Macaca fascicularis: one gene and its partners. The protein of the gene in region 2 interacts with the protein of the main gene of each other region in a pairwise test. Links are inferred from orthologs where the notes say so. Each region holds a gene or a part of one and is shown on either strand. Other genes may lie near its edges.

Evidence for each region.
Region 1: the proteins of TRIM27 (region 2) and ZBTB16 interact in binary tests that used the Homo sapiens proteins (3 or more experiments, as listed by UniProt). The two-hybrid records come from large-scale screens. The link is inferred for Macaca fascicularis from reciprocal best matches to the Homo sapiens genes TRIM27 and ZBTB16.
Region 3: the proteins of TRIM27 (region 2) and EIF4E interact in binary tests that used the Homo sapiens proteins (3 or more experiments, as listed by UniProt). The link is inferred for Macaca fascicularis from reciprocal best matches to the Homo sapiens genes TRIM27 and EIF4E.
Region 4: the proteins of TRIM27 (region 2) and ZC2HC1C interact in binary tests that used the Homo sapiens proteins (3 or more experiments, as listed by UniProt). The two-hybrid records come from large-scale screens. The link is inferred for Macaca fascicularis from reciprocal best matches to the Homo sapiens genes TRIM27 and ZC2HC1C.
Region 5: the proteins of TRIM27 (region 2) and PUS7L interact in binary tests that used the Homo sapiens proteins (3 or more experiments, as listed by UniProt). The two-hybrid records come from large-scale screens. The link is inferred for Macaca fascicularis from reciprocal best matches to the Homo sapiens genes TRIM27 and PUS7L.
Region 6: the proteins of TRIM27 (region 2) and TBC1D22B interact in binary tests that used the Homo sapiens proteins (3 or more experiments, as listed by UniProt). The link is inferred for Macaca fascicularis from reciprocal best matches to the Homo sapiens genes TRIM27 and TBC1D22B.
Region 7: the proteins of TRIM27 (region 2) and JOSD1 interact in binary tests that used the Homo sapiens proteins (3 or more experiments, as listed by UniProt). The two-hybrid records come from large-scale screens. The link is inferred for Macaca fascicularis from reciprocal best matches to the Homo sapiens genes TRIM27 and JOSD1.

The regions. Positions count from the first base shown.
Region 1 is NC_088388.1:112,987,792-112,992,340, forward strand, and holds the start of ZBTB16 (zinc finger and BTB domain-containing protein 16), read left to right. Parts: upstream 1-1,748; 5' UTR 1,749-2,614; exon of another isoform or gene 2,615-3,401; 5' UTR 3,402-3,496; exon of another isoform or gene 3,497-4,549. UniProt on the Homo sapiens protein: Acts as a transcriptional repressor. Transcriptional repression may be mediated through recruitment of histone deacetylases to target promoters. May play a role in myeloid maturation and in the development and/or maintenance of other differentiated tissues.
Region 2 is NC_088378.1:144,252,660-144,257,021, forward strand, and holds the start of TRIM27 (zinc finger protein RFP), read left to right. Parts: upstream 1-1,354; 5' UTR 1,355-1,705; coding exon 1,706-2,125; intron 2,126-3,358; coding exon 3,359-3,454; intron 3,455-4,362. UniProt on the Homo sapiens protein: E3 ubiquitin-protein ligase that mediates ubiquitination of various substrates and thereby plays a role in diffent processes including proliferation, innate immunity, apoptosis, immune response or autophagy.
Region 3 is NC_088379.1:104,469,056-104,472,878, reverse strand, and holds part of EIF4E (eukaryotic translation initiation factor 4E), read left to right. Parts: intron 1-338; coding exon 339-452; intron 453-2,476; coding exon 2,477-2,616; intron 2,617-3,823. UniProt on the Homo sapiens protein: Acts in the cytoplasm to initiate and regulate protein synthesis and is required in the nucleus for export of a subset of mRNAs from the nucleus to the cytoplasm which promotes processes such as RNA capping, processing and splicing.
Region 4 is NC_088381.1:143,025,482-143,029,052, forward strand, and holds the end of ZC2HC1C (zinc finger C2HC domain-containing protein 1C), read left to right. Parts: intron 1-2,046; coding exon 2,047-2,310; 3' UTR 2,311-2,937; downstream 2,938-3,571.
Region 5 is NC_088385.1:50,365,116-50,368,938, forward strand, and holds part of PUS7L (pseudouridylate synthase PUS7L), read right to left. Parts: intron 2,814-3,823; 5' UTR 2,798-2,813; coding exon 1,888-2,797; intron 1-1,887. UniProt on the Homo sapiens protein: Pseudouridine synthase that catalyzes pseudouridylation of mRNAs.
Region 6 is NC_088378.1:134,375,623-134,379,445, forward strand, and holds part of TBC1D22B (TBC1 domain family member 22B), read right to left. Parts: intron 2,765-3,823; coding exon 2,457-2,764; intron 242-2,456; coding exon 62-241; intron 1-61. UniProt on the Homo sapiens protein: May act as a GTPase-activating protein for Rab family protein(s).
Region 7 is NC_088384.1:12,949,118-12,953,427, forward strand, and holds the start of JOSD1 (josephin-1), read left to right. Parts: upstream 1-1,305; 5' UTR 1,306-1,333; intron 1,334-1,358; exon of another isoform or gene 1,359-1,499; intron 1,500-1,684; 5' UTR 1,685-2,308; coding exon 2,309-2,493; intron 2,494-4,310.

The DNA of each region.
Region 1 (4,549 bases), on a different chromosome or scaffold from region 2:
TGTATTGTTAATGAAATGAATACCCAGGGACTGGGTTTCCCATCCCCTTGCCCTGGGTTGGATGTGGTTGTATCCAGTGCTATCAGAGGAGCCCTTCCTTCACTCAAGTGTGTTCCCCTGCCCAGCTCTCTCTACAGACTCCTGCTGGCCTGAGCTTTCCCTGCTCTTAGGAGTCAGGAGTGGCTCTTGCTGGGATGGACTGACCCGTCTTTGGGGCTGTCCCGTGAGCGGCCCTTGTGAACTCGGATCAGTTCGATGTGTAAACTCTGCTGTCTGGCCTTCAGCAGACACATACAGATTTCTGCCACCTTCCATGGCCCTACAGTTCACGGGAGAGTGACTTGACTCTCCGTCTGGGGCAGTGCCAGAGGGACGCATGGAGATGTGATTCTAGGTGAGTCCTGCGGAAAACCTTTGGCCCACCCGCGAGTCACGGACAGAACATGCAGACCCAGGCCTCGGTGACCTAAGCCCCGCATTGCTAAAACCACGTGACCTCGAGGGCTGACTGGCCTGAGACCCCTGGATGGCGCTCTCGGTCACCCCCACTTCCCACCCCAACCTCCTGGGTTTTGGTCAGAATCCACAACCGGTGCCCAAAGAGCGCTTCCCACCTCTGGCACCCTACCTTCGCTGAGCTCCAGGGAAAAGAGGAGAGGGCAGCTTTCTGCAGTCAGAGGAAGGGTACATTTTCTTTGGCCTCTCTACCCTCTAAAGCAGGACGGCCCGCTGAAGGAGGACGCACTTCTGAGGGGCCCAGAGCTTTTCCAAGTTTTCCCCTGCCCCCTGAAGACTGTGCACTGAGCTGGGCGCAGTTGTCGGAAACTGTTTGCACCCAGATTGCTGGGGGTCGGGGGTCGGGTGCGGGCAGAGCCGAGAGGCTGTCCAAGTCTGAGAGAGAGAAAAGTTTCTCCCAGGACTCGACCTTGGCCTCCAGCAATCGCGACAGCTAAAAAGGGACCTCTCGCTTCGACAACAGATCTCGCGGACCTTCTGGCACCTGGTTCACCAGGACCCTCGAACTCTGCCTCGGGAGACTTCTTGAAATCCGGATGCTCAAGCCGGGAGGCGCGCAGTAGCCAGAAGGATGAGAGGCCCGGGTTTGGACTAGGAAAGCGGCCTTTTGAAACAGATGTCAGGGGCTACTGGGAATGCAGCCCAGAGCCATGAGAAAAAAGTTAAAGGCGAGATGACACACACTGAATTGGGGCAAACATTGGAAGAGGGGACAAAACTGCGTGCTTGAGCACCGGGGTGCGGGGGAGGGGGGACAAAACTCGTATCCAATGGAAATTAAAGTCTTGGGAGGAGGTGGGGGCTCCTGCGCGCCCTTCACCCTCAGTTCCCCTATTAAGGATTCCGCGTCCCCTGCACGCCTGTCTTCTAGCTCCTTCCTTCCTCTCCGCTCGGCCGGTGAGCGGCGGCCGCCAGCGCCCCAGCAGCAGCTAGATGTCAGGCGAAGCCCGGAGCGCGGAGCGCGGGGAAGGGAGGGGAAGGGAGGGGAGGGGAAAGGAGAGGTGGGGCGGGGAGCGCGCGCGGGCTCGGCCAGTGCGGGGTGGTGGGCGGGCTGAGCCCGAGGACGGCGCGGGAGGGGGGAGGGAAGGGGGGCAGCTGTGGGCAGGGAGCCGGGCTCGGCCGCCAGCACTAAAGATGGAGAGGCGCCGGGGCCTTGCAGGGGAGGGGGCTCGGCGTTGACGTGGGACGCGGCGGAGGCGCAGCAGCCGGTGGTGATTTGCTAACCTCGCAGCAGAGAGGAGTTGAGGGCGATGAGAGCGGGTACTGCGAACTGCCGGGCGATGCTGTCGCTGCCGCCTTGATACGGAGAGCAACAGTTCCCCAGCAACACCCCTCCCCGACACAGGCACACACCCCCCGACAGGCACGCACACCCACCCCACAGTGCCCGGCTCGGCTGCGGTGAGTGAGGGGCCGGGAAGAGGCGCACCGCCGAGCGAGCGCCGCGCGCCGGGGCTCCCCGGGGCTGGAGAGGTCTGGGGGGCGCGCGCTCGCTTCGGCCACTCGGCCGCTGGGCTTGTGCCTTTTTTATTTGGCGTGTTCCCTTCCTGCCGCTGCAGCCGTCGCCGCAACCGGTTGGGGGTCGGCTAGAAGGGGGAGCCCCGGCTGTCAGCCTGGGCACAGCTGCCTCCCCAGCCCTTCCTCTCCAGGGCACGGTCGGGGTGAGAGGTGGGGGGCGTAGCGGTCTGCGGGGGCTGAGGGCGTGAGCAGAGGGTCGGGGATCCGGAGGCTTTGTACCGCCAGGGGCCAGCGGAGGAACAGAGCCCGTGGGTGCTCTTATGTATGCGGACCGGTGCGCGGGCGCGAGATAGGGTTGTGGTTTATTTATTTGTGTGTCTATTCGCCGGCCGGCTGGGAAGCTAGAATCGGAGGAGCTGACGAGTAGATCTGGGGGCGGAGGGGAACAGGACTGGGACTGCTTACGTTTTGTTTCTGTTTGAAAAAACGTGGTGGGCTTTTTATTGATTGGACTTGATCCCCCCCTTTTGCAGGGGAGGGAGGGAAGCTCCAGAGGGTCTCCAGCGCTCCGGGCCCTCCTCGGCTCTCGACGGGACCGGCGGTGACACCGGAGCTCGCCGTGCGCTCCCGGCCGCTCTCGGTGGGTGCGGGTCTCTGCACCTGATGCGTTCGGGATGCCTTTCCCACCCTGGCGCGCCCGCCGCTAGCTCGCACAGCGCCTCGCACACGCCCGCACGCGCTTGAAATGCGCAGGGTCCCGCCGGCCCACGGACCCACTGGGACGCACGGAGCGCTCCGCACCGACTCGCTCGCCGCCTCCGCGAGACGCTCGCACGGTGCTTCGGACGGGCGCGCCGGCCGCTGGCGCCGCTGGCCAGAGGCCGGGGACCCAGCCGGTCGCTTCCCGGGGGTCACGGCCCTGGGTCGGAGAGGGAGGGCGGGCAGACCCCTTCTCGCCTTTCCTCCTACAACTCGTTTGCGGGGCTTTTGTGCTTCCCCTTCGCCGCGGGGCGGGTCCGCCTCCCTGCTGCTCTCCCCGCGGAGTCCAGCCCGCCCGGACTGTCGCCTTTTTTCCCAGTCTCTTTCGCTTTCCCTCGTCCCTAGCCCAGCTCTTCATCTTTCAGGCGTCTAGCTCCTCGGGAAAAGTTGCTTCCCCAAGTTTGCTGAAGTCGTCTCCAAGTCTCGGTGGGGGGTCGCTGGGAACTGGAGGCGTGTGAGAGCACGGTCGATCCCCGGAGCTCAGGCGGGTTCTCGCCGGTTCTTCCCCGCGCCGCCCGGCTGGACGCTGCAGCCAGCGCCGGCCGAATCGCGGGCGCCGAGCGGCGGGTGGGGAAGACGGCTGCCCGTGGGCGCCCCGATTTCCCTCAGGACCCAAAGGGCTTGTTTTGGGGCGCCAAGCTTCCATTCTTTTGGCTGTTCCCTCCTAGTTCTCAGAAGCCCCGATGTCTGCGGGAAAGCACGCGGTGGCCAGGCTCTGCTGAATGTTCATCCCACCCTTGACGGCCTCCGTCCCCACCCCGGGGTAGGCAACAAAAGTGTCTTGACCAGCCGTCCTGTGAATCCTTTCTGCGTGAGCTTGGTGGCTCCTGAACTGATAGAGCTTCTTTTGGGGGTGGAGGCAAGCAAGCAGTGTTCGAAGAGTGAGGGAGAGACCTTGCTGTTCCTTGCTCTCAGTGCATTCACTGCAATATTGGTCGCTGCAAGGCAGACACGGGGAGGGCCCTGGGCCTGCGCGGTCTTTCTAACACTCGTTAAGCGGGGTTTGGAGTCTAGGAGCCCTCTTATTGATCCCGAACAGGCTCTGGGAGAGGCCTTTGTTTCCCAGCCCTGTCTTCCCTTCGTACTGGTTGTAACTCACACCACAGATGCTGGTGCCAATATCACTTCCAGCGCCTCTGAGCCATGTCCGGCATCCCTTGCTGCCCCTGGTCACAGGACTTGCAGACTCCTTGGAGCCTGTGGGACACACGTGGAGTTCACACACCCAGCCCAGCATAAGCGCTCCTGGCTGTAGGGGAGCATATTTACTGTGGTCTCTCTCCATACCTTAATGATCCATCCTTCTTCGTTTTTTAGATCCTCCTGTCCACCGGCCAGTTGTGGGCAGGACGGTAGGTACGGCCCCTTATATAAGTGTGTGTGTGTGTGTATGTAAAGACACACACACACGCTTTTTTTTTTTTCTGAGACGGAGTTTTGCTGTTGTTGCCCAGGCTGGAGCGCAATGGCACAATCTCGGCTCACCGCAACCTCCGCCTCCCGGGTTCAAGTGATTCTCCTGCCTCAGCCTCGCTAGTAGCTGGGATTACAGGCGGGTGCCACCGCGCCTGGCTAATTTTGTATGTTTTGTAGAGACGGGGCTTCTCCACGTTGGTCAGGCTGGTCTCGAACTCCCGACCCCAGGTGATCCGCCTGCCTGGGCCTCCCAAAGTGCTGGGATTAGAGGCGTGAGACACTACACCCTGCCCCACACACTCTTTCTGTCTCTGGCTGGTGTACATACACACAGTGCAGATTTTAGATTATACATACAATAACTTTGAGGCTTCCATGGGTAGAAATGACCTAAGTTTGT
Region 2 (4,362 bases):
GGAACTCTAAAGTGATGATGTGGGCTGCTTTGCCTATGGAGTAGCCATTCTTTATTCCTTTACTTTCTTAATAAACGTACTTTCACTTTGAAAAAATAAAATAAAAATCAAGTAAGGTCTGGAAGCAGAAGCCCGTATTGCTCAGATAGCAGGACAATATTGAGAAAATCTCAAAGAAAAGCAGGAGACATCAAGCAAGGGATAAGAAAGCAACTTAAAAATGCTGGAGGTCTACTGCATGATAAGACAACGAGTATTGTGGGACTCCAAGACCCTGGGTCACTGTAGGATTCTTAGTCTCTCTATACTTCAGAAAGGAGCAAGCAATTTTTAGTTGCTCCTCAATACAACAACCCTATGTAATGGGCATTTTGTTACTATTTTAATGGATAAACAACCTTATGGTTCAAAAAGTAAAAGATGTAACGAAATCTACTTCTTTACGGCGGTACAGTTATCATCCCCATTTCACACGAGGAGAAACTGAGGTAAATGAATGGTAAACCAACTTGCTTGGGCACAAGTGAGAGGTAGCAGAGCTGGGCTTGTTATTGCCACACAGAAATGTTACCATCTGATAATTAAACCTTTCTTTTTCTAAACAAAACTGCAAGTGCCTACAAATGGGTCTGTTTAATAAAAGGCCTCACCTATCAGGTGGGCTCAGACGGTGACCCTCCTCATCCTCCAGCCTCTTGGGGAAGCCAGATGTCTGCGCTCCCCAGCACCTATATAAAGCCAGCTTTCTTTCTTCTTTTCTTTTTTTTTCAAGACGGAGTCTCGCTCTGTCGCCCAGGCTGGAGTGCAGTGGCGATCTCGGGTCACTGCAACCTCCGCCTCCAGGGTTCAAGCGATTCTGCTGCCTCAGCCTCCTAAGTAGCTGGGACTACAGGCGCCTGCCACCACGCCCGGCTAATTTTTCTATTTTTAGTAGAGATGCGGTTTTACCATGTTGGCCAGGATAGTCTCGATCTCCTGACCTCGTGATCCACCCGCCTCGGCCTCCCAAATGCTGGGATTACAGGCGTGAGCCACTGCGCGCGGCCAAAGCCATCTTTAGCAGGGGCTGAGACCTGGGCACCAAGAAGAAACCCAACTAAACACTAGGGGCCTGGGCCCGGCAGTCGCGGAAGATTGTAGGCCCGGAGCGTGTGGCACCATCTGCTTTTGTGACCAGTCCCCTAGGCTAGAGCTTCGGCGCGACCCGCCCAAGGGAGAGTGGCGGAGCCTCCCAGGCCTTTCTAGAGAAAGCAGCCCGGGCCCCGAGGCCACGAAATCTTGTCACACACTATAAGCGCGGGCCAAGCCCCGCCCCCCGAGCCGCCTCTTCCGCTCGCGCCGGGGTGGGGTCTACGCGGCCGCCGGGATCCGCTCGGACGCGGCCACGTTGTCTTGCGCGCTTTGCGCGCCTGGCCCTGGGATCCTGACCCTTGGCTACCCGTTCCTGCCCCAGTAACGTGGCCGCGAGTCTCTGTGAGCCGGCTGTATTCCCGCACTCGCTCAGGGGGCACAGGCGCAGGGATCGGCCCGGCCACTCTGAGCCTTCGGTGCGCGGGCGCGTCTGGGATACGGGCCCGGGAGGCACCGCCCTCCGTCCGCCCGGTGCCTCCCAGGAACAGCGAACGGGAGAGAGCGCCGGAGAGTTGGGCTCCGTGCAGAGCTCGGCGCCGGGGCCCATGCCCGTGAGCCCCCGCAGGCCCGCGCCATGGCCTCCGGGAGCGTGGCCGAGTGCCTGCAGCAGGAGACCACCTGCCCCGTGTGCCTGCAGTACTTCGCAGAGCCCATGATGCTCGACTGCGGCCATAACATCTGTTGCGCGTGCCTCGCCCGCTGCTGGGGCACGGCAGAGACTAACGTGTCGTGCCCGCAGTGCCGGGAGACCTTCCCGCAGAGGCACATGCGGCCCAACCGGCACCTGGCCAACGTGACCCAGCTGGTGAAGCAGCTGCGCACCGAGCGGCCGTCGGGGCCCGGCGGCGAGATGGGCGTGTGCGAGAAACACCGCGAGCCCCTGAAGCTCTACTGCGAGGAGGACCAGATGCCCATCTGCGTGGTGTGCGACCGCTCCCGCGAGCACCGCGGCCACAGCGTGCTGCCGCTCGAGGAGGCAGTGGAGGGCTTCAAGGTGAGGGCGCGGATCCGGGAGGGCGGGAACGCGAGTCGGACAAAGGGAGGAGAGAGCCAAAGGGGCTTCCCTTTTTCCGCCTAGAAAATGGCTGAGCCGGACGTGTGGTTCACAGCCGTCATTTCCTCTCTGTCCGCTCCAGAGCCTCAGCACTCAGATTTGGAGGAAAACCTGTAGCTGGCGAGGGAGCCAGAAGTCTCCCCACCCCCACTCTCCTTTCTCTGTGTGCCCCCATGTTTCCTGTCTCACGGACACATTGTACACGGAGACATGCTTTTGACAGTATAAAAGAAGTGCATAAAATCGCTTGCACATCGACGAGCTGTAGAGACACATGTACTCTCGTCGGCTGTCAGACAAAACGCAGTCGGACATTAACTGACCGATGCCCATTCCTTGGTCTATAAGCATTTCCCCAGCACTTTCCTGCAATACGTCCTGGTCTAGAAACTCACAGAAAAGAACAGGCTCTTCACTGCTTAAGTCATTTAACCACTCTGAGACTCAGGAGATAACAGTTATGAGGAAGATTATGGAATCATGTGATGCACAGAGCCCTCTGTGAACTGGCACAGCTAAACAGAAACGTGGAAACAAAATATTACATATAAAACAGTTGTAAGGTGACCTTCAAGGAGTCCATGATACTGTGTATTTTCTGTATGTTGAGGGCTTCAGGAATTCATACACAATTATGTCCGTGTTTAAATATGAATACATTCATGTGTAATTAATCACTTAACATTTATGGACCTTTCAGCTATATTCTTTCACTTACTCTGGTGAGAACTCTTGAGTAGGTTGGGAAGATGGTGTTTGCCCATTTCACACATGAGGGAAATAAGAAGTCACTTTCACAGTATGCTTGTGTGGAAGAGCTACAATACAACATAACTCTAAGCCTCCTACTCCAGTCACAGTTCCGCTAAGTCATGCGATATCCTACCAGGGACAGGTAGATGATTCATTGTTTAAGATAGACACAAATAATCCTGACGAGGTAGCTGAGTGGTTGAAGCGACAGGCTGCTAAGATAGACACAAATTGCCAAATGAGTGGCTTGTTGGCCCCTGCGCCCTGAGTCTTTCTCTTGTGGGTGGCAGTGTGGCCTGAGAACAAGTGCCAACTGGATACTTGGCATCAGGTGTGTGGACTCCATGTGTGATTAGAAGTACCATGCTGATGCTAAGGTCTACCTAGTTTTGAACTGCCCATCTGTTTTGCTTTTCTCAGGAGCAAATCCAGAACCAGCTTGACCATTTAAAAAGAGTGAAAGATTTAAAGAAGAGACGTCGGGCCCAAGGGGAACAGGCACGAGCTGAACTCTTGGTAAGGGTTGTTGGAATTCACAGTCGCTTCTGCTGGTGCTCCCCTCTTCTGTAGAGCTGATGTTACTTCCCTTAGACTTGTCCAGCATGTCACCCAGAACCTGTAGGTAGAGGGGGATCAACTGCACATGGCAGTGGGAACTCACCCAGAGAACTAAGAGATTCCCTTTCTTTTGGGGAAAGCGTGGAGGAGCCAAGTTTGGAACCCTTGGAAATCAGACCTGTCAGTATAGTTTAACCTGCTAACTGCGTAGACCAAGGTTGATCCTTGGCAAAGCTGAGATGGGTAAAATTATTGGATACAGTTAGCTTGCGTTGTTACCATTCTTCAGACAAGTGCTAATAGTGGATTTGTGTAAGTCCCACTGTTGCTTCTCTTTGTGTTATTCTCCTTTCTTGACAATGCCTTAATTCTGAATTTTTTGCTCTGCTCTCTTCCTCCAATCTCTCAAGGCCTCGACAAGTGGCTGATGTATTAATTTATGATAGGGGTATATGGGAATTTTTTCTTTTTATTTCCGACAGGGTCTCACTCTGTCACCCAGGCTGGAGTGCAATGGCAAGGTTTCGACTCACTGCAACCTCTGCCTCACATTTCAAGTGATTCTCCCACCTCAGCCTCCCAGGTAGCTGAGGCTACAGGCATGTACCAACACACCCAGCTGATTTTTGTATTTTTAGTAGAGATGGGGTTTCACCATATTGACCAGGCAGGTCTCGAATTCCTGACCTCAAGTGATCCACCTGCCTTGGCCTTCCAAAGTGCTGGGATTACAGGTGTGAGCCACTGCACCTAACTGGGAATTTTGTTTTGAAAAGAAAAAAAAAAACAAGGCAGGGCATGGGGGGGGGGTGGCGGCTCACACCTGTAATCCCAGCACTCTGGGAGGCTGAGGTGGGCGGATCACC
Region 3 (3,823 bases), on a different chromosome or scaffold from region 2:
ATTCATTAACTGAAACTGCATAGTTTTTGCATGTATTTTCTAGGTATAGAAATGTACAGAGCTTCTAAAACATGTTTGCTACTCAGAAAGTTTAAGAACCTTCAAATTAAGTGAAACTCAAGATTTGATAGCTAATAAGTGACAAAGTCAGGACTCTAATTCTGCAATGTCATGCTTCTGGCTTTAAGTCTTATGCACTTTTTAAAAACTGCATCAATGGCAGTTTTATGGGCAATAAAGTAAGAAGTTGACAGTGTTGTTGCTTACTGTTTTTAATGATTATCTCTCAAAGTCAAGGTAACAATATTGTGTAATACTGTTGTCTTCTAACCCTGTAGGATGGTATTGAGCCTATGTGGGAAGATGAGAAAAACAAACGGGGAGGACGATGGCTAATTACATTGAACAAACAGCAGAGACGAAGTGACCTTGATCGCTTTTGGCTAGAGACAGTAAGGTTTTAAAAGTATAAAGCAGTTTTAGAGGTAGTTTGGGAATACTGAAACTTAAGATATGTTATGTTTTACATTTGTTACTTAATTTAAGAGAAGGATGCCCAACACTAGAAAATCAGGGTCAGTAATTGTTTTCATTCTGTCATGTGACTCCTGTTTATAGTACAGTGAAACATCCTACCACATTATAAGTCAGATATTTTAAGTGATTGGCAGTGTGACTCTCATCACAATAAGCTCACTGTGGTCATTTCATTAACTTCGAAATTATAGAACCTTACATTTTATATGATTGAAGTTTTTGCAACCCTCTTACAGCATTGCTATATGTATACTAAACTTTTAAATATTTATGTTTTTAGAGTAAGGGTCTTGCTCTGTTGCCCAGGCTGGAGTGCGGATATTTATTTATATGACTCACTTCAGCCTCACCCTCTGGGTTCAAGTGATGCTCCCACTTCAGCCTCTTAAGTAGCTGGAACTACAGGTGCATGCCACAATGGCTAGCTAATTTTCTAAATTTTTTCCTAGAGGTGGGATCTTGCCGTGTTGCCTAGGTTGGTCTCAAACTCCTGGCCTCAAGTGATCCTCCCATTCAGCCTCCCAGAGTGCTGGAATTACAGGTGTGAGTCACTGTGCCTGTCCCACTAAACTTTTTAGATCAGTGAAGCAAACAATAAAATTGTTGTGTACTACCATTCAACCTACATGTTGTGATATTAACTGGAACTTTTGGCTTTACAAGACAAATTAAATATGAGATAATAGGCATTTTCTGTCAACAGAGGTTCCAAACCCCAAGCTTATAGGAGCGGGGTTTGTAGTCTCTTTTGTGTCCCTAGCACTTGAAACCGTGCCTGGTTTATAGTTAGCACTTGTTGAGTTAATCACTTTAAATATTTGAATAAGTGACTATTGTTTTTTTAGAGACAGGGTCTTGCTCTGTTGCCCAGGCTAGAGCGTAGTGGGGCCATCATAGCTCACTGTAGCCTCCTGGGTTCAAGCAATCATCCTGCCTTAGCCTCTCAAGTAGCTGTGACTACAGGTGCATGCCAGCACACACAGCTAATGAATGAATGACTTTTTAAGAAGAAAATTCTGTTTTTGAGGGTGAAGATCATCAGCAAATATCATTTTGGAATTTCACATTAAAAAGTCAGTATATTTCCATTTTTCAGTTAAAAAAAATGTTCTGGAGATGGATGGTAGTAGTGATGGTTGTACAACAATGTTGAATGTATTAACGCCACTGAACTGTACACTTAAAAGTGGTTAAAATGGTAAATTTTATGTTATTTGTGTTTTACCACAATTAAGAAACCCGTTAGGGCTGGGCTCACACCTGAAATCTCAACACTTCAGGAGGCCAAGGCAGGCATTTCACTTAAACTCAGGAGTTCAAGACCAACTTGGGCAACGTGGCAAAACCCTGTCTCTACAAAAAATACAAAAATTTACTGGGTATGGTGACATGTCCCTGTGTGTATGCCCAGCTACTCAAGAGGCTGAGGTGGGAGGATCATTTGAGCCCAGGAGGTTGAGGCTGCAGTGAGCTGTGATGGTCCCATTGCACTCCAGCCAGGGTAACAGAGCAAGACGCTGTCTCAAAAAACAACAACAAAAAACCAAACCATTAACAAATATTCAGAAAAAATAAGAACAAGAAGAAATTAACCATGAATAGCTATTTTTGTTATTCTATTAATATTTGTTTGCTCGTAAATATAAGCAGCAGCAGAGCAAATGAATATTAATAAAATCAGCTTTTATGTCTGCCACGATATTAACTGCCAAATTTGCTGAAAAAGGTGAAGACAACTGTTAATGATTTGATAGTAAATAAATGAATGGGTATTTAAGAGTCAGGATAGATCTATATATGCAAATAAAATTTACACATTTAAAAAATTAATTAGATTTAAAAATTGTCTTTAGTTATCTACGCGAATATAGAAGAGAAATTTGCAGTGTAATAAGCTTGTTTATAATCTATTAAACGTAATTTGGGATTTTCTTTTAAGCTGCTGTGCCTTATTGGAGAATCTTTTGATGACTACAGTGATGATGTATGTGGCGCTGTTGTTAATGTTAGAGCTAAAGGTGATAAGATAGCAATATGGACTACTGAATGTGAAAACAGAGAAGCTGTTACACATATAGGGTAAGTTTTGCTCTTTGCATACTTATTTTACAATATTAGGATGGCTAAAACCAGAAGTTACTTTATTTGTAGCTTTAGAAATACTTTGTTTGTAGATCCTGTTTTCCTTGTATTGTTTTCGGAACACTTTTATAATTTTGAACGGCTCAATTGGTGCACAACGTCTTGTTCATATATATCTATATCTATATAGATATCGATATAGATGTTTTGGAGGGTTTTTTCACAGCTATTTATATATTTAGAGACACAGTCTCACTCTGTTGTCCAGGGTGTAGTACAGTGGCATGATCTAGGCTCACTGCAACCGCTGACTCCCGGGTTCAAGTGATTCTTATGTCTCAGCCTCCCAAGTAGCTGAGAATACAGGCGTGTGCCACCATGCTCAGGTAATTTTTGTATTTTTAGTAGAGACCAGGTTTTGCCATGTTGGCCAGGCTGGTCTTTTAACTCTTGGCCTCAAGTGATCCATCCACCTCGGCCTCCCAAAGTGCTGGCATTACAGGCATGGGCCATTGCGCCTGACCTTGTTCATGTTTTTTATTTCTGTAAAATTGCTTTTTCTTAGCAGTGAAGTATATAACCACTAGAACACTCTGCTTTGGCATGTAGCATTTTTTATTCATTCACAAATGAGAATGTATTATTTCCTACTTTGAAAGTGCTGTTTGAAAAAAAGTACTACTTTGAAAAGAGCTAATGTATGCTCATAATAAATAATTCAGTGATTATTGGCAAATAGTGTATGTGTATTTAAAGCATGTGTGTTTACTACATATAATTTTCATTAAAATTTAACATACTTTGGCTTTTGTTCGATGTTTAAAACCCACATGTAGGGTTTTATTAAACCTTTTTTTGTAAATTTTATTCTTTGCAAAAATGGCTTTTTTTTTTTTTTTTTTTTTTGAAGCAGGGTCTCACTGTGTTATTTAGGCAAGAGTGCAGTGGTGCAGTCACGGCTCACTGCAGCCTCAACCTCCTGGGCTCAGGTGATCCTCCCACCTCAGCCACCCAATTAGCTGGAACTCAGGTGTGTACAACCACACCTGGCTATTCTCTTGTATTTTTTGTAGAGAAGAGGTTTTGCCATGTTGCCGAGACTGGTTGTGAACTCCTGGACTTGATCAAACCACCTCAGCCTTTCAAAGTGCTGAGATTACAGGCATGAGCCACCATGCTAAACCAGCTGGCATTTCTAACTAGG
Region 4 (3,571 bases), on a different chromosome or scaffold from region 2:
ATGCTTCGGCTAGGTACAGAATTCTAGGAGGAAAATGATTATCTGTTAGAACTTTTAAGGTATTTCCCACTAGCTCGTAGCATCCAGTGTATTGTTGAGAAATCTAATGCCATTTTGATTCCTGTTTCATTACAAGAAACCTTTTTTTTTTTTAAAGGCTACAGGATTCTCTATTTATTTTGAAATTCTGAAACTTTACAATAATTGTGCTGGATACTTGGTAAGCCATTTCAGTCTCAAAATGTGTGACCTTTAATTCTAGGAATGTTAATTGTATTATTTCCTTAATAATTTTCTCCTCTCCAGGTGCTGTGGCTCACGATTATAATCCCAGCACTTTGGGAGGCTGAGGCAGGTGGATCACCTGAGGTCAGGTGTTCGAGACCAGCCTGACCAATATGGTGAAACCCCGTCTCTGCTAAAAATACAAAAATTAGCCGGGTGTGGTGGCGCACGCCTGTAGTCCCAGCTACTTGGGAGGCTGAGATAGGAGAATCGCTTGAATCCAGGAGGCTGAGGTTGCAGTGAGCCAAGATTGTGCCACTGCACTCCAGCCTGGGCAACAGAGCGAGACTCCATCTCAATAATAATAATAATAATAATAATAATAATAATAATAATTTCTCCTTGTGCTTTCTCTGCTCCTTCTGGAACTCTTACTGGTCACATGTTGGACTTCCAGGATTAACTTTCTAATTTTCTAATCTTTTCTTTTTACTTTCCATCTTCATCTTTTTTCCCATTCTGAGAAATTTTCTTGACATTAGTTTACAACATTTCTATTTATTTATTTATTTATTTTTTGAGACAGGGTCTTGCTCTGTTGCCCTGGCTGGAGTGCAGTGGCACGATCTTGGCTCACTGCAACCTCTGCCTTCTGGGTTCAAGCAATTCTTCTGCCTCAGCCTCCTGAGTAGCTGGAACTACAGGCGTGTGCCACCACGCCTGGCTAATTTTGTGTATTTTTAGTAGAGACGGAATTTAACTGTGTTAGCCAGGATGGTCTTGATCTCCTGACCTCGTGATCTGCCCACGTCGGCCTCCCACAGTGCTGGGATTATAGGCATGAGTCACCGCGCCCGTCCTCTATTTAAATAATTTTTATTTTTAGCTATCAAAGTTTTGATTTATAATAGTTCTTTCTGGTTCTCTGGTTGTCTTTTTTCATAGTATACTCCTCTTGTTTTATGGACATAATCTCTTCTAATACTCATTTTGTTGATATGGTCTCATGTTAAAAAAAGTTTTCTTCTGCCTCCTGCCTTGTTGCTGCTTCCTAGGTTTTTGTTTGTGGACTTTCTGGGCTCTTTTTCTTGTTAGAGCTTTTAGTAAATATCTGATGATTCCTGGCTGTCCTTTCATATTTAAGCTTAAGTGGGGCTTGTTGACTAAGGATCTTCATATTAAAGTTACCAAATAGTGAGTCTTTTAATTAGTGTCTCCCAAGGTGAGTATCTGAAGCCTTTTCTCTGGACTGCTCCATGTATCCAGAGAACCCCTCTTTTTCCTATGAGGATGTCAATCTGCTTGGTACTCTGGGGGCTGAGCGGGGGAAGGAGGCTGACAGTTCCATAATTTGGTATGTACACTTGTACTTAATCCCCATTTTCAGCCCCAAGATTAACCCGGTTCCACCGTCTGGATTTCCTGAGTCAGAAGTCTGTCTGGTTCAATTTCTCCAGAGCATAAATCCTTGCTCTTCTGTGAGTGTGCCTGGGTGTTGGACACTTGGATGCGTAAGGTGGGAGGAGCCGTGGGGTCCTGCTTGTTTTCAGTCCTGTACCTCCTTACTTTCCACTATCTGGTACTTCCAAGCACTGAACCTCTCCGGATTCTGTTGGGAAAGTGGCTTGCCTCTCAGCAGTACCTCCTTTGCAGGCCCTTGGTTTGCCTCAACGCTGGCAAGTCAGTTACCACTGTTGCTCCTTTCCTGTTCTTTGACCTTGCTGATTAGTACCCTTTTCATTTTCTTACTGTTATTCTAAAAGAGACTCAGGAAGGAGATAGGTGCCAAGTTGAATGATCAGTCTCCCTTTTACATTACAGGCTGAACCTCCTCGGAAGAACAACTGGAGACAGAAGCACGAATCTTTTATCCATACGCTCCGCCAGGCTCGAGAGGTCCAGCAGGTAACTGCCAAAGGTGAAAACCGTTCACACTTGCCTCCCATCCTGCCTGCAGAAAACCCAGACTACATTCAGTGTCCTCACTGTAGCCACCACTTTGCTCCCAAGGTGGCTGAGCAACACATTCCCAAGTGTAAGACCATCAAGAACCGTCCTCCACCTCCAAGGAAGCATTATAGTTGAGCAGACAACAATGGAAACTTTTGGATAGGTCAGAAAGCTCTGCTTCTCTTCAGCAGTAAATGGGAGTAGAATTTGATGCAAAGCAGAGAGAAATCAAACAGCTCCCAGATCTGCCTGCAGAGTTAAAGTCTGTGAGGAGAGAGCCACTGCTAAGCAGCAGGAGGCAGAAGGAAGCCCCAGCTTCCCACTAAATTACAACCTTGGGCTGGTAAGCTTTATGTTATTGCCCTCAGAATTGATGGGTGAAGACACTGAAGAGTCGTGAGCAGGCTCCATTAAAGCTCTCTTCTTGCATGCCTGACTTGTGGTTTGTGCTAGTGAAGTGCCTGCATCTGGTTGTGCCTTCCTGTCACTGCATGTATGTTCAGAGTTCTGTTAACTCTTGCTTTTGTAGAAGCTGGAGTTATTAGGATGTGTTGGAGTCAGAGGGGCATGATCACCCAGATGGTAACTCTTATGAAAGATAATATAATTTTGCTGTAAGGCATTATTAATGGAAATCTATCCTTGGTCTCCCTGGTGCATGATCCTGGCCAAAAACCAATACAAGTATGTAAGGTTAAGGCACCAATGTCTCCTAAACCTTCCCTATGGTGTACTGTGTAATAAAGGAAAGATCTTTATGTACTTTATAGGGTAGGGATGGGTGTTGGGGGGAAACACATTATACTTCTGCTTGTTCTTTTCTAATGGGTTTCATATGTTAAGAAAGAAACCTCCATTTTAGCTGTTAATAGCACTCTACTTTCAAATCAGTTTGGCTAAATGACTGTTTAGAGGCAGCAAAATCTACCATCAAAGTAAGCTGAGATAGGCTGGGCATGGTGGCTCATTCCTATAATCCCAGCACTTTGGGAGGCTGAAGTGGGAGGATTGCTTGAGGCCAGGAGTTCAACAGCAGCCTCGACAACAAAGCAAGAGCCCGTCTCAAAACAAAACAAAGCTGGGACATTGCACAGTGTCACATGCCCTTGGCAATTATAGCATAGTCAACTTCTATTTGAGAGAGTAAACTCTGAAGGGAAAGGGATCAAATCTTTTTAGTTTTCTCTGTGTAGAATATTGCCTAGCACAAGTTAAGACCTCAATTAATGAGGTCTGGAGATTAAAAATTAAACAAGGTGAATGAGTCCTAGACTAGTGAAATGAGAGAACTGATAATGTCTGCGAGAGTATTATCAGTTCAAATAGGAGTGAAGTTAGCACAACAGATAGAAATCCTAGGATTACTGTTCTGTATTACTCAAATTGTTAGTTTAAA
Region 5 (3,823 bases), on a different chromosome or scaffold from region 2:
AAGAACATGACAAGAAGTGTAATACTTTTGTGACGTAGCCTCAAAAGTCATCTCACATCCACATTCTCCCTCAAATTCTTTCCAAGTTCCAAGGCTGAATGCTTCCAAAGCAAATATCATGTGTGCTTTATTGACCATTATATCCCATCCACTGGCAGACAAATGGGTAAACAAAATGTGGCATACACCTACCATGGGGTATTATTCAGCCTTAAAAGGGAAGGAAATTCTAACACGTGCTACAACAAGGATAAATGTCAAAAACACACTAAGTGAAATAAGCCCATTACAAAAAGACAAATACTGTATGATTCCACTTATATGAGATACCTAGAACTGTCTAATCCGTACAGACAGAATGAAAAATGGTAGTTCCCATTTTTCAGAGCTGGAGAGGAGGAGGGATTGTTTAATAAATATGGAGTTTTAGTTTGGGATGGTGAAAAAATTCTGGAGATGAATGGAGGTGATAGATGTACAACAATGTGAATGTCCTCAATGCCACTGATACTTAAAAATGATTAAGATGGTACACTTTATGTTATGTATATTTTAACATAATTTAAAATAAAAAATAAAAGGTTTTTTGAACCATCATTCCTCCTTTTAACATATGCCTCCAACGATTCACAACTTTAGAAAAACGAATTTAAACTAATATATAAAGTTCTATAATTTTTTTACTCATTAACCCAAATTAATATTGTTAGAATTTCAAGTAGTATAAGATAAATAAAAATTCCTAGAGCTGCTTAAATCACTCACCAGCAATTCCTCTTTCTACATGTAAAGCTAGTGTTGTTTTTCCTTCAAAATGGATATATCTGTTAACACTTACTATATGCCTAATATTAAGTAACTATTACATAGTAAACAATTTCATTATTTCATTTAATCCTTAGAATATCATTGTGTGTCAGGCTTTCCTATTACCCCATTTTTCAAGTACAACCAAAAGTTATGAATTATTAAGTAACTTGCCCGTGGTATTATTCTTCCCATTTTTACATTTATGAAATCAAATCTTAAAGACATTAAAAATTTCATAAGTCTTTTTGTGAACTAAAAGTCATAATATCAAATCAAACCCACATAGTTCCAAGGTTCAAACTCTAATTTATTAAATATGATCATCTGAAACAGTTCCCATCCTTCAAGTAGAATTGAGGCCAGTTAAACCTAGTCAGCTGGACTTTTATAGTGAGAGTTCATCAGTTCCAGCCACCCTGGGAATTAAACACAGACCCTAAAACAGTGATTCTCAAAATGTAGCAGACCAGGAAAAAAAGAGTCTGGAAATTTGTGAAAGCCCCAGAATCAGAAACTGAGAATGGGGCTGTGAAATCTGTTTTAACAAGACCTTTTGATGATTATATGCATGCTAAAGTTTCAGAACATCTTGTCTAGATGACCAGCAGGACCAAGTTTTCAGGTTCCCTACCCAAGGTAGGGAAATATAATTTGTTTTGGATTACAAAGTATCTCTTCACTTTCCCAAGCACAGTAAATATATTCTTATCTCTAAAAACTTAATTTTAATTGAGATGACTTCCAAAATATGAAATCAAGATTTACCTTCAATAAAACTTATTAAACACAAACCAACTGATTCAACTTGACATTTGTGAATAGGCTAACATAAATGCCTAGGTTATCAGTAAGGCTAATTTTTAAATTCAGTGTAATTTGAAAGGTTTTATCATCTTCCAGTAACAGAATAAATAAGAATTCCTAGAGTTGCTTAAATTGCTTATCAGCAGTTCCCCTCCCTAAAGGTAAAGCATGTATTCTTTCCAATCTCTCTAGCCAAGTCTATTCAATTCATTTTCACAATTTTAAATTTAACTAAGTTTATCCAAGAAAATGGATGATTATTTATTAAATTACCTGTATAAATAACATTTCCTTCTTGGCATTCAGGAAGAGGCCTTTTCCCACGCCTGTGTGCTTTTTCCCGAAATCTTACTGTTATCACCACATTCAGATTACCAGTACTGCAATTCATTTCAGAAAAAGATTTGGTTTCCACAAGGTTTCCAAACTTTTTGTTGACAAAATGGTGGACAGCTTTTCTGTGGTCTTTGTTTGCATCAGGTTTAAAGGTAAATTTGGAATTTTCTTTCTTCGCATCCAAATACTTAAAAAAGTTAAATGCTTCCTCTTCAGATACCAAATGACAAAGTTCTTTATACTCAAGATTTGGTTTTACAACAATTTCACTGTTTTTTCCTACAGTTATTAAAAATGGAAATTTCTGCCTAATGGCACTATGTAAACTAGCCCTCTGGTTTTTGTCAAGGATTCTGCCTATTGAGAATTCAAGAGGTAGTCCAATTAGCTCTGTTTCAGAAAGCCACTTCTCTTTTATATCACAGGCAAAATTATTCAGTAACTCATGAGTTTTTTCATCTAAAAAGGAGCTTAAAACATCAGCTTTTTCTTCACATTTGGAAGTTCCATCACTGATAGTATCTTCCTTTTCTGAACCAGACGGATGATTTTGGTCACCATCAGTGTACTTAACCAAAGTATTAACTTCTTGGTTTCTTCCATCTTCAAAGGACAGATTTTGAAGATCTAGTTTTGTTTTTTTGGGAAAATTATTTGGCTCAGGTTGTATTTCACTAATCTTGAAAATAGGCTCATTGATGGTCTTATTAACTAATTGTCCCTGTTCATCAATTTCAATAACAATAAAGTCACTTGGTGAGCTTTTTATAGTGCCATGAAATCCAATATGATCATTAAAGAAACACAAAGAACTAAACCTGATTCTATAATCTGTATCTTCTTCCATTCTTCTATAATAATGCCTAAAAAACAAAACAAAGAGGTGGTTAGTTAACAGAAAGAGAAATTATGGATGACCAGATAGGAATAGGTTTGCAGGATTTAGTTAATTCTGTCTCTCTTTTAATCCTGAGTCTTCTTAAATGGCATCGTTAATTTATAACTATATGTACATCCTGTGTACTTTGACTCTCCTATACCAAGCTGAAATAATAGGCAAACTATTTCTGGTATAGCTAAAGATTTGTTAACTTGTATCTTCACTCACTCCAGATTTGTACCTATTATCCAGGATTAAAATGAGTCAATTTTAAGTTTATCTTAAAAATATCATTTGTAGGCCCACAAGAAGAGGTGAGAACACAGAACTATAAAACCAAGATGTGTCCAAATTCCATTCCTGGAGTCTAAAATCTCCAGCTAATTCCAGAGAATATGTGGCTAAGTTTTCTTACATTATTAGTGGTTAGTGACAGGAGAGGTGACAAGAAGACAATAGGAAAACTGATGGGTAAATGAAGTTATAAATACAAATTTGTGATTTGATTATATTTCAAGGTAGGATTAAGTCAGTCCTGGGCCTTCTCTAATGCCCCCATTAGGACAAATAGAAGCTTTCAAGGTTGACCCAGAGGAAAGTTCTAACTATATCATTGGCATCAGACTGAAGAAACCTTACAGAGCTTCCTGGGAACACTATGCAAGAGAATAGTACTCTGATCTCTCACCTTTCACACAAACCCATGGCTACCATACGATATGGAGCTGCAGGAAAGATAAACTGCCCAGGGGCCCCCCTACTACTGAGTTCTGTGTTTACCCACATTCTCCAAGTAATTTATCATCATCTGGACCATCATCTCATATCTATAATGTATTCTACTATTCTGAACCAATTTAGCAAATCACATCCCTTCTCAATCCTTTCAATCATGCCATATAGAAATCACAACAAATTCTCCATATCCTAATTTCCTAAGGAAAATATAAGATATATTTATTTTCCTTAATTACTTAATTTCCTGTACAGTTC
Region 6 (3,823 bases), about 9.9 Mb from region 2:
AGGTCTCTGAGAATTCCAGTCACCAAAAGCTCCTACCTTGCCTGGGCTCACAGGGACTCACCTAAGTCAGTGTTGTGGCTGGAGAGAAGCTGACGGAATTTTTCTAGGCGGGTTTTCTCCCGGACAGTCATTGGGGGGGCCCCAGAGGCGTTCTGATCCGAGATCCGGGCAACGAGGGGGATGATGGGCCGGAGAGGGAGTGACTGCTGTTTGTGGAGTGGGTTCCTCAGGCATGTATCACCTGAGATCATTTGAAAAAGAAACAGAATGGGCTGTGTGAGGAGCATGGATTCTGAGAAGCCTTAAACCTAATCGTTCAGCATCGTGTCTCCTCCCCAAGGCCGTGGCTGCCTGTGTGCACTGCCTGAGGTGCCCAGCTGAGGGGCAGCGAGGGACCAGAACCCAGCCACGCTCCATTCACTGCCCAGAGAAAGGGCTGCATTTATATCAAACACACCAAGGCACCTTAGGTGCTAACAGAGACTCCAGAAGCTGCAGCAACTTTTGAGAACTTTTTTGGTGACTCTAAAGGAAAATCAAATGTTTTCTTTCTGCCCCAACTTGGAACTTTTCTTGATGCCAAACAGTGAGTTTAGTTTAGTCTAAGGCAGAGTTTTCCTTCCCATTCCACATCCCAGAGCACATAAGGAATGATGACAAGGCAGATGACACCACAAAGCACAAGGCTGCAATAAATGGAGGTGGTTGCTCTCCACAAGCCCCGGAACCCCCGGCTGCTCCATGGACTAAGAGGATCAATATCTCCACACATCCTGTACCTGGTTCTTGGCCCATCAGTGTGCCCTGGTGAGAAGCTCTGGCCTAAGGCAATCCTGCCTTTGGTGGCTGCGGTTCCTTTGTGCACCTACATTTCCCACCAAAATGAACCAGTTCTTAATTCTGCCAGGATATGACTGAAATAACAAACAAAGACTCAAACTGAACTCTGTCTTGTTCTCGACATTTCTAGACTGGATGGTGGGTAGGGTGAATAAGCACTACAGGACTCACATATATTGAGTGTTTCCTATGTATAAGGCATATAGGTCACTTTTACATATGACCTCTCATTTGATCCTTAGAACACATGGTAGGAATGTATAACTATTTTACAGACAAGAAACTGCAGCTCAGGGAGATTAAATTATTTGCAAGTGAGAGGTGAAAAACCACCTTAGGTAAGCCTGACTCTGAAACTCTTGTATTATCACAAGCAAAACTCAGTTTTTAATTCTAGTTGTGCTTACATGACTGCCTCATACTCTTTACACGGCTGGGCCTTAAAAAGTAGTAGTCATAACAAAAATTAAACATTGAATATCAACCAACCAGTACTACTAGAAGGCTTACAAAAACAACTTCCACGAGGCAGTTGGCTGGGACGCCTAGTGTAACGAGAGGACTAGAAAATGCAGACACACTGCAGAGCTGAGACAGCTGTAAATCTCCGCTATTACCTATTTACAGACAGATGCCCGCAGGAGAAAACCTCCTCAGGGAGAATGCTCTGGGCTGGGCTGGGGAGGTCCTGGCTGCACAGGGCAGCTCATTATGGATCACAGTAGGGGCCTTCCTCACACTGGGAATCTCTGGAGACCCTCCATCACCGTGTGTACACACCTTCCACAGCCTGCAGCTGTGGCCACCTGGTCAGTAACACTGAATGCCTATCTGTGCATGGCACTGAAGGTTCACGCTAGAGCCCAAATCAGTGATGGAAAACAACTGTGGAATGATTGCAAAGACCTTACAGCCATGAAAAAAGTTCCCTCAGAACATGAGCCAGGGCTCTGATGTTCTTCTACTTCCTTTTCATCCTTTACCCGCTCACCGCTTTAACTCTCACTGCAATGACAAAGCTTCCCTCTCCAGTTCCCAACACACTTTCATAAAACCCATTAGGGCAACATTAAACACAACCATGAATATTTAAAGGAATACACTGAGAGTCCCCAAAGGTCTAATAAAACCACCATCGCATCAACCGTTACTCTGGCCAGTTTCCCGAAAAGAAACAGAGAGGCCTCTACTTCCATCCCACCCAACCTGATGGGACCTGCCTGATGGTCAGGAAGCCGAGACCTGGGGCCTTTAGGCACATTTGCTCCCTCCCTCAGGAACAGGAAGAGACAATTTTATGCTAGTAGCTGTTCCCCAGGGCTGAGAAAGTCAAACCACAGTGGCCAAACAATTGTGAAATTCAGCCACTAACAGCTTTAAATTAGTTAATATTTCTAAACCTGACCAGGACTAAAGCAATGTGAAGCAATCAAACCAGAAGTTTTGGACTCCACCACAGGGAAAGTAAGAAGAGAAGAGGAGAATGGCAAACAACACCTGGGTGTTAGAAAGTGAAGCCCCAGGTCACCAGACTGGGCAGCCACCACAAATCGCTTTTATTTAAAATGCACGCTGCTGAAAAGCCTGAGGCTATGAAGGGAGCAGGAAGGACTTACTAGAGTTTCTGGACAGCTGGGCATCACTGCTGGACTTTATGACCTTGTAGTTGGCAGGAACATCCGATGTCGTTGACTGGGACCGTTCTGGTTTTACCCTCAGCTTGCTGTGGTTTTCTAGAACTTGGGCTGCAGTTGCCAAAGCAACTTTTGAGTTCAGAGTTTGGAAAGAAGGTGAGGAAAAGTCCTCTTCCTCATCATCGCCAATGTCCCAAGCATCACTGGTATTCCGTGCAAACTCATGAAAACTGGAGGCCTTCTTATTCTTCAGAGGAACTGTGCTGACTTTTGATCGTTCTTTAATGAAACTTCAAGAAAGGAGACACAATTACCAAGGAATGGCCTGACACATCTGACCACCTGCATTTGCTTATTATTATAATGTTAATAAATTACAAACTACTCCATACATAATCATTAGCTTCTTCAAACAAAAACTGCCCATATCCATTCTTCATCTAGATACATCCAGACCAGCCTGAGATCGCAGAGACAGATGTAGCAGAGACAGCAATGGTCACCAAACATCCCATGTGCTCTTGTATACTTCCTGGCCCCCATGCACTTAGGTGAGGCCATATGACCAGTTCTGGCCAATGGACTAAGAAGAGAAATAAGGCGATTACTTCCAGGCAAAGTAGAGAATAGGTGTCAGTTCTGTATAACCTCTTTTTTTTTTTTTTTTTGAGACAGAGTTTCTGTCACCCAGGCTGGAGTGCAGTGGTATGATCATGGCTCACTGCAGTCTTGACCTCCTGGGCTCAAGTGATCCTCCCACCACAGCCTCTTGAGTAGCTGGGACTACAGGTGTGCACCACCATGCCTGGCTAATTTTATTATTATTTTCTGTAGACACAAGGTTTCACTATGTTGCCCAGGCTGGTCTTGAACTCCTGGGCTCAAGTGATCCTCCCACCTCGGCCTCCCAAATTGTTGGGATTACAGGTGTGAGCAACCATGCCTGACCTATAGCTTCTCTTCTATCATGATGACTGGCAAGATGGTAGAGACTCCCTCAGCCTAGGTAACTGAGTGACTATGTGAAGCAGCAGTAACTATGTCGAGGAGCCTGCCCTCTGCCCTTACCCACCCCCATTTTAGACATGTAGCATGAGCAGGAAATAGACCTTTACTATGCTAATCCACTGAGATTTGAGAGTTGATCTGCTATCACTTAGAGTAGCACATAAACTACTGGCAGAAAACGAGATAATTTTAGGTAGTCCACATATGTAGCATTAAACCTTAAGTCTCAAAATAAAAAAGTTGTTCCACTTTTTGGTCTTCCACTAGCCTTGAGAAGAAAGTTGAAGTTTGGTGCTACTCTGTCTTTAGACCATTTTCTAAGTAGGTGCCAAAGTGAGAGC
Region 7 (4,310 bases), on a different chromosome or scaffold from region 2:
AGCCAGGTGTGGTGGTGTATGCCTATAGCCCCAGCTACTCAGGAGGCTGAGGCATGAAGCTCGCTTGAGCCTAGGAGGTCGAGGCTGCAGGTGAGTCGTGATCGCGCCACTGCACTCCAGCCTGGGAAACAGAGCAAGACCCTGTCTCAAAAATAAATAAAAATTTAGGCCAGGCGCGGTGGCTCACACTTGTAATCCCAGCACTTTGGGAGGCCGAGACGGTTGGATCTCAAGAGTTCGAGACCACCCTGGCCAACATGGTGAAACCCCATCTCTACTAAACTACAAAAATTAGCCTTGGGTAAGTGGCAGGGGCCTGCAATCCCAGCTACCCGGGTGGCCGAGACAGGAGAATCGCTTGAGCCCAGGAGGTGGAGGTTGCAGTAAGCTGAGATCGCCCTATTGCAATTCAGCCTGGGCTACAAGAATGAAACTCCGTCGCAAACAAAAACAAAAACAAAAACAAACTAAATTTAAAGTGCAATTTCTTCTCGTTTTTCCAGTTTTACGAAAAACCCCAAAGGAGGGCAGCTAAGGTGGATACTGATGCCTACCACGCACCCTAAGAGTAGGTAAAGGGAAAAAAATGAAATCCACGTGGGACTGCGAGTAGTTCGCCGTTTCCCGACGACGCACACAATGCGCTTAGGTATACTTCGCGCAGAGGTCTCTGCAGAGAGGAAAGCCACCGTGAGAAGAGCGGGGAGCCCCCAGGCAAGAGGGCAGTGGCTTGTGTGTAGTGAACTGAAATGCGACACCACGGAACTGCAACAGGAGTCTCCTTTCCACTTGAAATGTGACTCAAAGCGAGGCACCTACCCTTGGCGCTCCCTGGACAGTGCGGCACGGTCGGGCCCACTAACCAAGGCAATTTGCGCCCGACCGAATCAGGTGCTCCAAAATCCCCCCTGGTGAGCCGCGCGTTAGCCACACAGAAAACAGTCAACGCAGAAGGAGCGAGAACGCTCGGCCGAGAAGCCTGGCCCAGAGAGGGGAGGGGTGCGGAAAGCCGCGGACGGCAGCCGCTGGCCTGCAGGACTCCCTCAGGCCGCCCCACCCCGCCCCGCCAGGGACAGCGCAGAGCCGAGCGGCTGGACCCCAATCCTGCCGGCCGCCGCCGAGCTCCGCAGCCCGCAGCCCCACACCCACTGCCTCCGCCACACCCCAACCGTTCAACTTGGCCCGTACACGCCCGGCGTCCCCGTCTCCCAGGCCGGTGCCGATGACGTCACACCTACGCTAGGCGTGACGCCACGGCTGGGAGGAGCGAGGACGGCGCCAGAGGGCGTTTCCGGAGCACGCGTCGGGCGGGGGCCGGTGACGTCGGGCTCAGGTGCGCGCGCCCGCCCGCGCGGCCCAGTTGGCGGCCCGCACTCCAGGTGGCGGCCGTTGTCGGTGAGGGGACGGCTGGCGTTGAGCGGTCCCGACGGCGTTGGGGTCTGCAGCCAGGGGCGCGGCGGGAGGGCGTCTGGGCCTGCGCTCACGTGACGGGCGGGGAGGTTGGTGTAGGGGCGGCGAACCGGGTGGGTCCGGGCTCAGGAGCTCGAGGCTGACTGTCCGGCCCCACCCCTTGCGGGCCAACCCGTCGCCGCGCGGAAGGAACCTTCCCTCGGGCAGGGGCCGGCCCCGCCGCGCACTTCCCGCGCCCGCTCGCCGCTGACCGGAGTTGTCTCTTCCTCCGCAGGGCCGCGGCCAGAGGGCGAGAGTCCGCGCCTTCCGAGGGAGCCGCGCCCTGCGGGCCCCACCGTACCCAAGGGGATGGAGGGCTGCCCCCGAGGCCCCCGCGCGGCTCGCGGTCCCACGCCTGCCGGCCCGCGCTAGCTGCTCGACTCGTGCGCGTTATCCGCCACCCAGGCCTTGTCTCCCGAGTCAGTGGCGTCGTGGTTCGAAAGAAATGGAAGAAAAGGAGCGATGTGACCGATGCTGTTCGGTCCTCCTGCTTTGAGGCCTGGCATTTGCAGAGGGAAACAGCAAGAAAATCGTGGGGAGTTTTGAGGGGGGTGGGAGGGAAGGGTGGGGAAACGGAAACAAGGTCTTACATTTTATGGGTTTTTTTTTTTTAAATTCTGCAATTTGACAGTGGTAGCAAAATGAAAGTAATCCAAAAGTTATTTTTCTCTTGAGAAAAGAGGTGGGTTTTTTTTTCCTTTTGATTCCAGTCTTTTCTCCCAGTGACAAAGCATAAATCATGGACACCAGAGAATAAGGTGAACCTCAGGAACCCGGAAAAGACTGAGAAGGTTACATTCTTCTTCTGGAGGGAAGAGTAGGGTGTTTATAGCCATCTCTGGAACCTAAAACAAAAAACATGAGTTGTGTGCCATGGAAAGGAGACAAGGCCAAATCTGAATCATTGGAGCTGCCCCAGGCAGCACCCCCACAAATCTACCATGAGAAACAGCGCAGGGAGCTTTGTGCCCTCCACGCCCTCAATAACGTCTTCCAGGACAGCAATGCCTTCACCCGGGATACGCTGCAAGAGATTTTCCAGAGGTAGGGGACCCTTCTCCTTGGCATCTTGATACTTACTGATATTTTTGGATTTCTGTGGGTGGGATAATGTCTCAAGTTTCATAAACCTTTAAATCTATAGGTATTAGCTAGATGCCATTAGCAGGTATAAGGGACACAAGACAGGAAAAGATAATCACTACTATGTATCGGGCACTCACTGTGGGCTAGGAAAGTGCTCATATTCTCGGCTGTGTTTTCTCGAGTGATCTGCTCAGCAATCCCATGGAATACGTGTTAATACGTGGTGTTATTTCCATTTTACTGATGAAGACACATTTAGTTCCATACTTTGCTCAAGGTAACAAGACTTGGAGCTGGGGTTGAATTCTTACATCTATGCTGTTGACCACTATGCTAAATGCCTCTAAAGTTCTGCTGCCGAGGAGTTTACAGTCTAGAAGTGGGACCCGATAGGTACACGTTCAGTCGCCTGTCATCAAAGGTGCAATGTGGTGACTACCACAAGCAAGAGGTATACACAATGCTCAGCTTTTCTGTGAGCCATGTGCTGGCAGTGGCGCTGTTCGTACATTGCTTTGTGTAGCCCTCCTAACAGTCATTTCACTGCCTGTATTTTACTGATAGAAAGGTCAGGTAATATGTCCAAATAGCTTCTAAATAGCAAAGTTATAATTTGAAGTTGACTCCAGATCGCCTCTTTCTCCTTTATTCTAGATGGCCTTTCTTACCCATTTAGAACAAATGCCACCCCACGGGTTAGTAGAGGTTCAGCTTTTGGCCAAGCACGGTATAATCCCAGCACTTTAGGAGGCCGAGGAGGGCGGATCACCTGAGTTCAGGAGTTTGAGACCAGCCTGGCCAACATGGTGAAACCTCGTCTCTACTAAAAATACAAAAATTAAGTCGGGTGTGGTGGTGCACGCTTGTCCCAGCTAGTCGGGAGGCTGAGGCAGGAGAATCGCGTGAACTCGGGAAGTGGAGGTTGCAGTTAGCCGAGATTGTGCCACTGTACTCCAGCCTGGGTGACAGGTCTCAGAAAAAAAAAAAAAAAAAAAAAAACTCAGCTTTTTTCTCTTTGCTTTGATTTTCTAGAATTACTTTAAAGGTTTTGAGAGTCAGTTCTGTGGTGTCTTGATGGACACAACAGCATATCTGCAGTCCATAGCAACTCAGATGGTGATCTTGCCTGATGACCCCAACTAGAAAGGGTTAGGCCCACACAGTCCTCACTGAAGAGAAGCTCAAGCGTTCTTCAAGCAGTACATATTGACAATTCCAGAAGACCTTTTTCTTACTCTCTTAGCTTGGAAATGAAATTATTGCCACATAGGGACCAGAATTACAGCTGGTAGCAACCTATTTGGGGTGATTTGTAAAACACAGGTATGGACCATTTGCCCTGAAAGAGCCAGAGGCTTACTCTTAGAAGAATGTTAATCCCCAGATGCAGACAAAACTATAATGAGAGTAATTATTTTCCAATGCCAGTAGTAACCAGAGTAATGCCTTACCAGGGTAAATATGTTATTTGCATCATGGCCATTATCTGGCAGCAAGTAGAATTGACTCTTCAGGACCTGGGGCACTGGGAGGTAAGATAATTTGTCTCAGATCATCAGGTCATGTCACTGAAAGGAGAACCCAGTACATTGGACTGCTTCCTTTTGGCCAGCCGTTAGTATTTCTCCTACTCCTAATCAGATTTGCAAATTATTTCCTGATCTAAAACTAGGGAGAAGAAAGGACTCAGGGTGAAATACCTGAATGTGCTTAGTACTTTGTGATATGTACAGACAATCTTGCAACAACCTCACCAATAATGAACTTAGGAAACT